Linked DNA regions of Macaca fascicularis. The protein of the gene in region 2 interacts with the protein of the main gene of each other region in a pairwise test. Links are inferred from orthologs where the notes say so. Each region holds a gene or a part of one and is shown on either strand. Other genes may lie near its edges.

Evidence for each region.
Region 1: the proteins of FOSL1 (region 2) and USF1 interact in binary tests that used the Homo sapiens proteins (3 or more experiments, as listed by UniProt). The link is inferred for Macaca fascicularis from reciprocal best matches to the Homo sapiens genes FOSL1 and USF1.

Annotation. Positions count from the first base shown.
Region 1 is NC_088375.1:100,028,411-100,034,359, forward strand, and holds the start of USF1 (upstream stimulatory factor 1), read left to right. Parts: upstream 1-2,383; 5' UTR 2,384-2,419; coding exon 2,420-2,560; intron 2,561-3,377; exon of another isoform or gene 3,378-3,450; intron 3,451-4,964; coding exon of another isoform or gene 4,965-4,994; coding exon 4,995-5,086; intron 5,087-5,471; coding exon 5,472-5,521; intron 5,522-5,683; coding exon 5,684-5,799; intron 5,800-5,949. Other genes in the region: ARHGAP30 (rho GTPase-activating protein 30), read left to right, coding at 1-670.
Region 2 is NC_088388.1:8,498,200-8,504,257, forward strand, and holds the start of FOSL1 (fos-related antigen 1), read left to right. Parts: upstream 1-2,324; 5' UTR 2,325-2,373; coding exon 2,374-2,472; intron 2,473-2,749; exon of another isoform or gene 2,750-3,264; intron 3,265-6,058.

The sequences.
Region 1 (5,949 bases), on a different chromosome or scaffold from region 2:
TCCTCACTCTTCTGAGATGGAAGAGGCAGCCCCACAGCCACCCCAGTCAGAGGAGAAGGAGTCTGAGGGGCAGCCCAGTTCAGATGGCTGTCTATGTCCCTGTTCCCTTGGCTTGGGTGGCGTGGGCATGCGTCTAGCTTCTACTCTGGTTCAGGTCCAACAGGTCCGCTCTGTGCCTGTGGTGCCCCCCAAGCCACAGTTTGCCAAGATGCCCAGTGCAATGTGTAGCAAGATTCATGTGGCACCTGCAAATCCAAGCCCGAGGCCTGGCCGGCTTGATGCGACTCCTGGAGAAAGGGCTTGGGGGGCCCGAGCTTCTCGATCCTCTTGGAGGAATGGGGGTAGTCTTTCTTTTGATGCTGCTGTGGCCCTAGCCCGGGACCGCCAAAGGACTGAGGCTCAGGGAGTTCGGCGAACCCAGACCTGTACTGAGGGTGGGGATTACTGCCTCATCCCCAGAAACTCCCCTTGTAGCATGATCTCTGCCCATTCTCCTCGGCCCCTTAGCTGCCTGGAGATCCCACCTGAAGGCACGGAAGGGTCTGGATCCCGGAGTCGTCTTAGTCTGCCCCCCAGAGAACCCCAGGTTCCTGACACCCTGTTGTCCCCTCAGCGCCGATCGTATGCATTTGAAACACAGGCTAACCCTGAGAAAGGTGAGGGACTGTGATTAGGACCACAGCCCTGGGCAAAGGGGACCAGTAAGTTGTCTTGAATCTCCAGGGTTCCTGACTAGCTGTCTCTTCTGCAGTCTAGGCAGCTGTAGTGCCCAACTCTATAGGCTTTGGCCCTCCAGCTTCTCTGACTGTGGGAGGCACTGCCTTGTCTCAGACAGAAAGCACTTATCTCTTAGGAGATTCCCAAGAAAGTCAACAAGATCTTGTTCCCAGGGAGTGGGTTACTGGCCAAAGGGAACATAAGGTAGGCAGAAAAGTTAAAAGAGTTTCTTAAAGTGAAGACTGGAGAAGTTCCTCCCTTCCTCTGAGCTATGAATCTCTCTTCATGAAAGCCAAAGGTAGAGACGGGGGACAGGGCCAGGTTAGGGCCTTCCATACACAAACACTTCTAGAGTTGCCCATTCCTGTTCTGCTCTTGGACCCTTAGATACCTCCTGTCCTTTTTAGATCCAGATTAAGAGAAACGTTCAGGAAGCTCTTTGAAACCCTCAGTATTTGTTGGAGGGACTGGACTCCTCTCCAGCTCCCCACCCTCTGCCTCCAGTCACCATGTGCAAGAGAGATCCTGTACAGATGTCTCTGGGCTCTCGTTTTTCCTTTAGAATAACTTCTTCCTATTTCAGGAAAGGGAAATGGTGTCACTCAGGCCCTGGGACTGCTTCTCCAGCCAGGTTGGGGCCATAGGTCCCACTCTAGTGAAGGTCAATGTCTCAGAATAAAAGCTGTATTTTTACACGTAGTGTGGAGTCTCATTACTCTTATTAAAGTCTTTGGTGATAGCTATTATATCTTCATATATTTGGCAAAACATTCTTTTTCTTCTTGTTGTTTGGGTGCTCTTCCTCAGTTGTTGTCATGGAGACTAGTGGCTAGAAACTAGAGCTAGGTTCATGGTGGTCACGAAATAAGGAAGAGAAACTTATATTTACATAATGCTCATTATGTGCCAGGAACTGGACTAAGTATCCTGTGCTCATAAAATCTGTGTCCTTGATTTTATTTAATCCACATAAGTCTGGAAGGTTGGTGCTAGTATCTCCAGTTTATAGATGAGGAAACTAAGGCTCAATTAAGTCAAAATGTTTGCCAAAGGTCTCAGAGGTAAGAAGTGGCAGAGATGGGTTTGAAACCTGGATCTGCCTCGTCCCCAAGTTTGAATTCTTCCCATTATACCACACTACTCCAAATCCATTCAGGGTAGGTCTTGATTGAGAAGAACAGGAATCAAGATTCCTGTCACAGAAAGTGTGAGCCTTTAGAAAACTAGAAGCTTTGGGGTCTTCGGGTTAGTGACTGCCGACGCGAATAACAAGGAACATACCCAGTTCTATGCATGCCCTGATAGGTCGTAATCTCTAGCAGGTAGGTAATCTTTCAAAAAGACGCCCTGAGCCAAGATGGCCTCCCAAATAGCCCTTGTTAAAGATGGCGCCTCCGTCAGACGTCCCTCCCTTCATCTCAGCTGGATTCTCTCTTTTTTCCTGGAATGAAAAAATGCCCTGCCAGCACTAAGATGTCAGTACAAGTTAGTGGTCTCTTTCCCGTTCTTGTCTAAAGTGGCCAGGGCTTCAGCTACATACTCCAGGACACGGCTTCTTCCCGACTTCACAGAAAACCCACAAACATCAGCTCTCATCAAGATGGAGTGAGCGGAAGTGGGGCGGCTCTGAGTTTGAGTTTGTGGGCGGGCCGAGAGCGACACTTCCGCCCCTCACCAACATGGCTGCGGGTTGCAAGTGCGCATGAGCAGCTGTCTATGGAGCTACCTAGGTCGGGAGAGGGAGAACACAGTTGGAGAAAATCGGCGGCTGAGACGGCCTTGGCCGGTGAGTGTAGGACCGGGCAGAAGTCTGGAAACTGGGTGGACTGGCAAGGCAGGGCAGGTTTGATTTTGTTTCCTTTTTTCTGGTTAGAGAACACTGCTGGGGAGGAAGCCTTTGTTTTGGGCGGGGGGGGGGGGGTGTTGTGCTGGTTCTTTATCTTCTACCCTGCTTTGTGGGCCAAACTCCCTGCCCCCGAGCGCGAGCGTCCCAGCCCTCCTGCGCTGTCCAGCTGCGGGCCGCAGCCGCCGGCACCGGGCGCCTGAGCCCCCTAGTCCCCGATGTCCTTTCCTGCCTCCTCCGCGGAGCAGCTGGGGCGCGGGGCTAGACTGCGGGGCTGCGGGTCACGGCGCAGGCTCCCGGGCTCGCGCCTGGCGGGCGCTCAGCTCCTTAAGCGCCTTCTGGTTGGAGAGCCTGCAGGGAGACGCCTCATTCTCAGGCAAGGTCTAGGCGCCTGACTTCTTTCGGGAGTAGATTTTTTTCCCTTTGTGTCCAGACTTAGCAAGGGCTCTTACTGGGCCCTTCTGGCCTGAGCGTGCCCACCACAACGTCCCATTCCAGTTTCCGTGTCACAGATCCCTAATGCCTAGGAAATGCTTCCGGATGTCCAACTAAGATTTGAATAAGTACCCTGACCCCGTTGCTGGGTGTCCTCAGAGACTGCCCCGGCTGACAGCTGTGGCCAATAGAGATGCCTCCTGTGCCGGGCCCTCTATTTCATTGCCTTCCCCTGCAGTCAGCGCGGCAAGCTTCGCAGGGCATTTCCTCTTCAGGTTTGAAGATGGAAATGTAGGTGGTCCCAAAACACTAGTGTTACTTCCCCTTATCGACTGGGATCTCCTTGCAGCGTTACTTCCTCTGGACGGTTTCACTTTCAGTTCCTTTTTCAACATTTTCCTCGGACGCGGTCTTTCCAAGGCTTATCCACTGAAAATTTTCCCTGGATAGGAAAGGTTTGGAGGACCTTATGGGTAGAGAATTTCTAAAAATCTTGCCCCTTTTGTGTTGGGATTATCTTATTGCTTTGTACTGTGTAGCTGTTTCTTTCTGGAGGCATGTCTGCCCAGCTCTTTGTTTTTCCTGCCCTCTGGCTGGGTGTCAGGGTCCTAAGGCAGAGCTTGTAGGTGGATTCTTCCCCCTTTGTCTCTTCTTCAGAACCCTGTTTTTTTTTTTTTTTTACCCCTTCTTGCCGAGGCTCAGTTGATTTGGAGTTGTCATAGCAACATTTTAGCAACTGTGTTGTTCTACAGGAAGGCTTGATGAATAAAATAGAGGGTGCTTGAAGAGGATCCACTTGGGCTTTAGGGTTTCTAACAGATTATATAAATCGGAATACCCCAAAACAAGAATCCTGTCAGTAGAATGGGGCCCAAAGGCCAAGTCTAGTCTTTGTGGTCAGGGACATTCTTCCAGTGGTAGTGGGCTTGAGATTTCCTCTTCCTAGGTTTGAGAACAGAAATGTCTTGGTGGACAATATGTGGCTGAGAAACTGGAAGAAGTATCAGTGTCCATGACACGGTATTTTTTGATGGTGGGGCCAATACATGGCCCTTCCTGATTCCCATGAGGCTGCCATCATGGCAGGTCATAATAGCTTTAATAGTGATCCATTTAGAAATGTGTTGTTGGCTGGGTGCGGTGGCTCATGCCTGTAATCCCAGCACTTTGGGAGGCTGAGGCAGGCGGATCACCTGAGGTCAGGAGTTCCAGACCAACCTGGCCAACATGGTGAAACCCCATCTCTACTGAAAAATACAAAAATTAGCCGGGCATGGTGGTGGGCGCGTATAATCCCAGTTATTCAGGAGGCTGAGGCAGGAGAATTGCTTGAACCCAGGAGACGGAGGTTGTAAGCTGAGATTGTGCCACTGCACTCCAGCCTGGGCAACAGAGCACGACTGTCTCAAAAAAAAAAAAAAAAAAAAAGAGAAATGTGTTGTTTCAGCCAGGTGCGGTGGCTCACACCTGTAATCCCAGCACTTTGGGAGGCCGAGGTGGATAGATCACGAGGTCAGGAGTTCGAGACCAGCCGGGCCAACATGGTTTAGTAGAAACCCCGTCTCTACTAAAAATACAAATATTAGCCAGGCGTGGTGGTATGCACCTGTAATCCCAGCTACTTGAGAGGCTGAGGCAGGAGAATCACTTGAACTCGGGAGACAGAGGTTGCAGTGAGCTGAGATCGCGCCACTACACTCCAGCCTGGGTGACAGAGCGAGACTCTGTCTCGAAAAAAAGCGTTGTTTCTGTCTTCCAGTATAATTATCCCCTCTCTACCAGGAGTTGGAGTGATAATGGAGGGACAAGGAACACTATTTGTAGAGTTGCTTTTTCAATCACTGTAGGCCAGTCCTCAACATCAGTATGGTGGAGGCTGATTGTCCCCTGCAGATGACTGGGTTATTTTCCTGGCTGTGTGTTCATGGAACCTAAGTTCTAGAACCGGAGATACTGTTCTGTTTCCTAGACTCACTGCAAACTTCATGATTTCTACCAGGACTTAGCACTCAGGCCTGTGAATAGGAGATACAAAGACTTCCAAAAAAGGACCAGTTCCTCGGATGTGCCCCCTCACAGAGAGATGAAGGGGTGAGTGAAGAAGGGGTAGGGTCTGGGATGAAAGATGGGTGGCCTGGAAGAATGCAAAATGGCCAAGAGCACTGCCTCTGGAGTCAGGCAGACCTGGATTCAGGTTCTACTCTATCACTTACTGTGTGATTTGGTTTCTTCATCTATAAAATGGAAGTAGTGCTATCTATCTCATGGTGTTGTTTTTAATATTAAATAAGAGTACATGTGATGTACTTAGCTTAGTGCTTATGTACATAGTAAACAGCAAACACTAGTTGTTATTCTAACCTAACTCAGCTTCTGTTGGGAATGCCAATGAGTTTGCAGCCATATGTTACTGGGCCGGTAAGCTTCTCATTGACTTCTTCCCATACTCTTCCTTTTGTCCTTTCACCACAAACAGGCAGCAGAAAACAGCTGAAACGGAAGAGGGGACAGTGCAGATTCAGGAAGGTGAGTGCTAGAGACGGAACCAAGACTAAGAACCCATCATGGCCTCCCTTCCTCCCCCACCAGACCATCTCCTGTGCATCCTCCTCCTTCAGTGACATGCACGTGGAACGGGGATAGAAAGGCAGTTAACTCACAGACTTTTCTTTTGTTCTTTTAATTCAGGTGCAGTGGCTACTGGGGAAGACCCAACCAGTGTGGCTATTGCCAGCATCCAGTCAGCTGCCACCTTCCCTGACCCCAACGTCAAGTACGTCTTCCGAACTGAGAATGGGGGCCAGGTAAGGGAGGGGGCCAGGTGGCTGCAGGTGTTATTTGGGATTGGGATTGAGGGAGGTAATTGAACATGTCTTGGGGAGACCTGGCTTGGAGGATGAGTTGAAAGAGTGGACTGTTTCAGGGGAGGGGGGTGCTGATACTGGAGTAGAGAC
Region 2 (6,058 bases):
GCATGTGACATTATTTGTGTCCTCCAACAACCCTTGAGATAGTTATCATTATGTCTCCATTTCACAGATAAAGAAAGAGGCTCTGAGAGATTGTGTGCCTCATCTAGGTCACACAATTGGTGAGCAGCCTAACCACATTCAAACCCAGACCCCAGAGCTGTCTGACCCCAGCACGAGTGTTCTGTCCATGGATCACACTGCCTCAGAAACACTCTCCTCTCCTTTCTGTCTGTCTCTCTCTTTCTCTCTCTGTCTCTGTCTTTCTCTCTCTGTCTCTCTCTTTCTCTCTCTGTCTCTGTCTTTCTGTCTCTGTCTCTGTCTCTCTCTCTCTCTCTCACACACACACACACACACACACAGATCATGATGACCAGAGGATGACAAACATTGGGTCGTTCAAAGGCAAAGGAGAGGCACCAGGTTGGTAATGACTTTCTGAGTGCACAACACTTTACAGCTTACAAAGCACTTTCACATCTGTGATCTCATTTGATCCCACAACAGCTCCGTGAGATCAGCAGCGAGGCCCAATTGAGGGAAGGTGACCTGCCCAGTGTCATACAGACAGAAAATGGTAGCTCTGGGACTAGAACCCCAGGGTCAAACTGGCCTTCCTGGCTCTAAGTACCGAGTGCACCCACAGACTGCTGGCCTGTGTTCCCAAGGAAAGTAGCCCAGAGGGAAAAGCTAGAGCTGATGAAATGGAAGGACCGATGGAGAAGCAGGAGAGCCCAGCCCTCTTGATCTATTTACTTTGAGTCTTGCTCTGTCCCCCAGGCTGGAGTGCAGTGGCACAGTCACAGCTCACCGCAGCCTCGACCTCCCTGGCTCAAGCCATCCTCCCTCCTCAGCCTCCAGAATAGCGGGACCACAAGGCAGGAGTACCACCATGTCCGGAAAAATTTTTTAATTTTTTGTAGAGATGGGGTCTCAAATGGTTCTTTCTGCCTTGGCCTCCCAAAGTGCTAGGATTACAGGCATGAGCCACCACACCTGGCCCCAGCCCTCTTTCTGTAGTCGTGTGACAGCTGGCAGCTCAGTTCTCCATCTGGGCCTCAGTTTCCTCACCTATAGATGGAAGTAATCAGAGAAGAAGCTTTGGGATGGTACCTAGCACTGACATTCTGGATGTGCAACAAGGTGTCTGTAAAAGTGTAAGGGCTGTGAAAAATCTTGGCTGAGCCTGGGCTTGGAGCGCCCATGGCTGTGACTTGGCAACCTGTGCCAGCTACTCACTTAGCAACCTTAAGCAATTCATTTCAACATCTCCCAGCCTCAGTTTCCCCATCTGTAAAACAGGGATGAGGATGATACCTGCCTCCCAAGCACGTTTGGCCATGGCCTCACATTCACTCGCCTTTGACATACTCTCCAAACAAGACTGGTGGCCGAAAGGCACTGACAGTAAAGAAGATGGCGTTTACCAGACCTCAGGACACCTGTAGTGGCCCTGAATTAAAATTCGTTATGGTTCCTGAAATTATCCTGAGTAATACAATTATATTGCATTGTATGTGTGGTTAGTTCAAAGCATTACCTTATCGTAAACATTTAAAATATACCACCCAGCCTGGGCAACACGGCAAGACCCAATCTCTACAAAAAACACAAAAATTCCCCGGGCGTGGTGACGCAAGCCTGTAGTCCCACTTACTTGGAGGGAGCGCTGAGGCAGAAGAATCCCTTGAGTTCAGGAAGTTGAGCCTGCAGTGCGCCGAGATCAGCCACTGCATTCCAGCATGGGTGACAGAGACCCTGTCTCAAAAATATAAAGTAAAATAAAATAAAATTATGCCACCATTTTTGTAACCCTGGTTTGTCATTTATTCACTTTTCATATACTCGAAGCCTTAAAACAAGGCCAGCGGAAAGATCTCACTCCACGAAGCTTTGGGTCGCGGTTGGCGTGGCTCCTACAGATGTGATTCTTTCACGCTATTTTGTGGGAGCAGAAACGGAGACTAGCCCAGGCCGCGAGAGGGCTGGGGCTGTGCGCGGGCTCGGGCAGGTGCGTCAGTCCGCGGGGGAACCCGGGGCTCCACCTGGGCGCGGCGAGGAAGTTGCACCATGTATGGGCAGCTACGTCAGGGGGGCGGGCCCGCAGCCACCGGGGAACGCCGAGCCGGGCCCATCCCAGTGAAAAGGCTGCCGCCGGACTGGGGGAGGCGTCGCCAAGTTCGGGACCGACGGGCCAAGGCTGCGCGTCTCGCGGGTGGAGCCTGGAGGTGACCGCGTCGCTGCAACGCCCCCACCCCCCGCGGTCGCAGTGGTTCAGCCCGAGAACTTTTCATTCATAAAAAGAAAAGACTCCGCACGGCGCGGGTGAGTCAGAACCCAGCAGCCGTGGACCCCGCGAAGCCGCCAGCCCCGGGCATGTTCCGAGACTTCGGGGAACCAGGCCCGAGCTCCGGGAACGGCGGCGGGTATGGCGGCCCCGCGCAGCACCCGGCCACAGCGCAGGCAGCCCAGCAGGTGAGAGGGGCCCGACGCCGGGGGTCCCCCGGGAGGACGGCGCGTGGGAGGCCGGGTCAACTGCCGCACACTCCGGGACTGGAGCCGGGAAGCGGAGTCTGGGCCGGGCTGGGGGCCAGGGCGAGGATCCTGCCCCTCGGCGTCCGGGGCCAGTTGCCCCCACTGCACAGCGGGCGGCAGAGACCCGCGAACTCCCCTTCTCCCAGCCGCCCCCTTCTCCCTTGCAGTCCGCATCTGTCCCTCTGTCTCCTTGCCCGCTTTCTCTCCTCCTGCCCACCTCTGACTTCTGCGTCCACCCTGCTTCAGAAGGAGCGTGGGCGCCTGGGTTGGCCGCCCCGACGGCTCGGAGGGTCTCTTCGCCTTGGGCTGAATTCCTGGGATCTGGAGTCTGGGCCGGGGTGAGATGTCCCAACACGGGAGGGAGGCAGGATCCGTCGGGAGAGCAGCTGGGCCGGGGTGGGAGTCCCGGCCCGGTCTGCGACCGTCCGCGTGTCCGTCCGTCTGTTTGTCCTTCGCCCCTCCGTCGCCAAGTCCCTATCGTTTCTCCGCCTGGGGAGCCCCGGGGGGTCCGGGCAGTGGACCTTTGCCGAATGCGGCGAATAGAGACCTCGAGGTTCCGGGACGTGCGCGGGGTCAGGCTGCGGGCGACTCTCGCGACCCCGCTCCCGGCCCCTAACGGCGCCCGCTGCCCGCTGGGGGCACCCGGGAGGCTGCAGGTGCCCGTTTCCTGTCGAGGGGCTGCGAGCACGTGTCGGCAGGGGAGGGAAGGAGGGGCGTCCGTTCCGCCGAGTCACGGCGGCCAAGTCACGGCGGCTGAGTCACCCGGGGCGCCCCTCCCTTCCTGGCCCGGAGCGGCCCGGGCCCGGACAACCTCGGGAGTGGGAGATGCCGCCGGCGGTGCCTTGGACCCGGAACTGGGGTCACTGGGCCGCCGGGCCCGCAGCGCTTGGGCTCAGGCTACTGCTGTCGGGACTTGCCTGGGCTTGTGGGGCGCTTCCCGGATGATTGGGCGCCCACACCCAGGGCCCAGCGGCAGAGCTCGAACCCACTTCTCCCAGAACACTGAGCTCCATCCCAGCCCACTCCTCAGATAGCTGGTTGATAGAATGGGAACAGGGACGTCGTGCTGGGCGCTTGCCACATCATTTACCGTATTTCACAGAGTCGAAGACCTCATCGATTGAAAAAAACCCACCATAACTTTATGCCACTAATTTTCTTTCCTTCCTTCCTTCCTTCCTTCCTTCCTTTCCTTCCCTCCTTTCCTTCCCTCCCTCCCTCTTTCTTTCTCTCTTTTTCTTTCTTCCTCCCCTCCCCTCCCCTCCCCTCCCCTCCCCTCCCCTCCCCTCCCCTCTCCTCTCCTCTCCTTTTTTGAGACAGGGTCTCCCTCTGTTGCCCAGGCTGTAGTGCAGTTGCACAAACTCAGCTCACTGTAGCCTCAACCTCCTGGGCTCAAGCAATCCTACTGAGATCCTAGCTGGGAAGCGACCTGGCCACAGGCACGCACCACCACACCCAGCTACTGTTTTAAATATTTTTGTAGAAATGAAGTCTCACTGTGTTGCCCAGTGTGACCTCGAACTCCTGAGCTCAAGTGATCCTAGACACAGCCTCCCAAAATGCTGGTGTGAGTCACCATGCCTGGTCCACTAAAATTTTTTAAATTGCCAATTAAACTGATTTCAGAGGTATTAAATGGTACTTCTTAACATCAATGAAATCCTGTAATCTTCACCTGTAACAATATTAAAAATGAGGAAACTGAGGCACATGGAGGTTAAATAACTTGCCCATGGTCGCACAGGCAGTAAGTAGCTGAGAGCTAAGATTAGGATTGGGGCCGGGCGCGGTGGCTCAAGCCTGTAATCCCAGCACTTTGGGAGGCCGAGACAGGTGGATCACGAGGTCAGGAGATCGAGACCATCCTGGCTAACACGGTGAAACCCCGTCTCTACTAAAAATACAAAAAACTAGCCGAGCGAGGTGGCGGGCGCCTGTAGTCCCAGCTACTGGGGAGGCTGAGGCAGGAGAATGGCGTGAACCCGGGAGGCGGAGCTTGCAGTGAGCTGAGATCCGGCCACTGCACTCCAGCCCGGGCTACAGAGCAAGACTCCGTCTCAAAAAAAAAAAAAAAAAAAAAAAAAAAAAAAAAAAAAAGGATTGGGACAGCCTGCCATGCCAGGTGGCTAAAGCCTGTCATCTCAACACTTTGGGAGGCTGAGGTGGGTGGACTGCTTCAGCTCAGGAATTTGAGACCACCCTGGGGCAACCTAGTGAGACCCTGTCTCTACAAAAATTTTTTTTAAAAAAATTAGCCAGGCTGTGCGCGGTGGCTCATTCTTGTAATCCCAGCACTGTGGGAGGCCAAGGCGGGTGGATCACCTGAGGTCAGGAGTTTGAGACCAGCCTGGCCAACAGTGAAACCCCATCTCTACTAAAAATACAAAAATTAGCCAGGCACAGTTGTGGGCGACTGTAGTCCCAGCTACTTGGGAGGCTGAGGCAGGAGAATTGCTTGAACCAGGGAGGTGGAGGTTGCAGTGAGCCAAGATCAAGCCACTGCATTCCAACCTGGGCAACAAAGCAAGACTCTGTCTCAAAAAAAAAAAAAAAGCCAAATGTGGTGGTGCACATCGGTAGTCCTAGCTACTTAGGAGGCTGAAGTGGGAGGATTGCTTGAGCCCGCAGGTCACTGCACTCCAGCCTGGGCAACAGAGTGAGTGCCTGTCTCAAGAAAAAAAAAAAGGCCGGGCGCGGTGGCTCACGCCTGTAATCCCAGCACTTTGGGAGGCGGAGACGGGTGGATCACGAGGTCAGGAGATCGAGACCATCCTGGCTAACACGGTGAAACCCCGTCTCTACTAAAAAAATACAAAAAACTAGCCGGGCGAGGTGGCGGGCGCCTATAGTCCCAGCTACTCAGGAGGCTGAGGCAGGAGAATGGCGTGAACCCGGGGGGCGGAGCTTGCAGTGAGCTGAGATCCGGCCACTGCACTCCAGCCTGGGTGACAGACAGAGCAAGACTCCGTCTCAAAAAAAAAAAAAAAAAAAAGCAAAAAAAAAAGCATTGGGATGGCCTGAACCCACAGCAGTGACTCTTTCCTGCCTCAGCCCCTCTGCACTGGGCACCTGCCACTTACCAGACTGTCGCACACATTCTCTCACTTGATTCTCACAGCCTCCCCGTGAGATGGGAGCTGTAATTATCCTCTTCGTGCAAACAGGTGCAGGAGTGGGTAAAAGACCAGCTGCTGGGCTCAAATACTGTTTCCTACTCACTGGCTCTGTGTCTGTGGACAACTGTTCTCCTGTCTGAAAATGAAGATACTAGGCTGGGTGTGGTGGCTCAAGCCTGTAATCCCAGCACTTTGGGAGGCCAAGGTGGGTGGATCACCTGAGGTTGGGGGTTGGAGACCAGCCTGGCAAACATGGTAAAACCCTGTCTCTACTAAAAATACAAAAATTAGCCGGGCATGGTGGTGCACACCTGTAATTCCAGCTACTCGGGAGGCTGGGGCAGGAGGATCACTCGAACCTGGGAGGCACAGGTTGCAGTGAGCCAAGATCATGCCACTACACTCCAGCC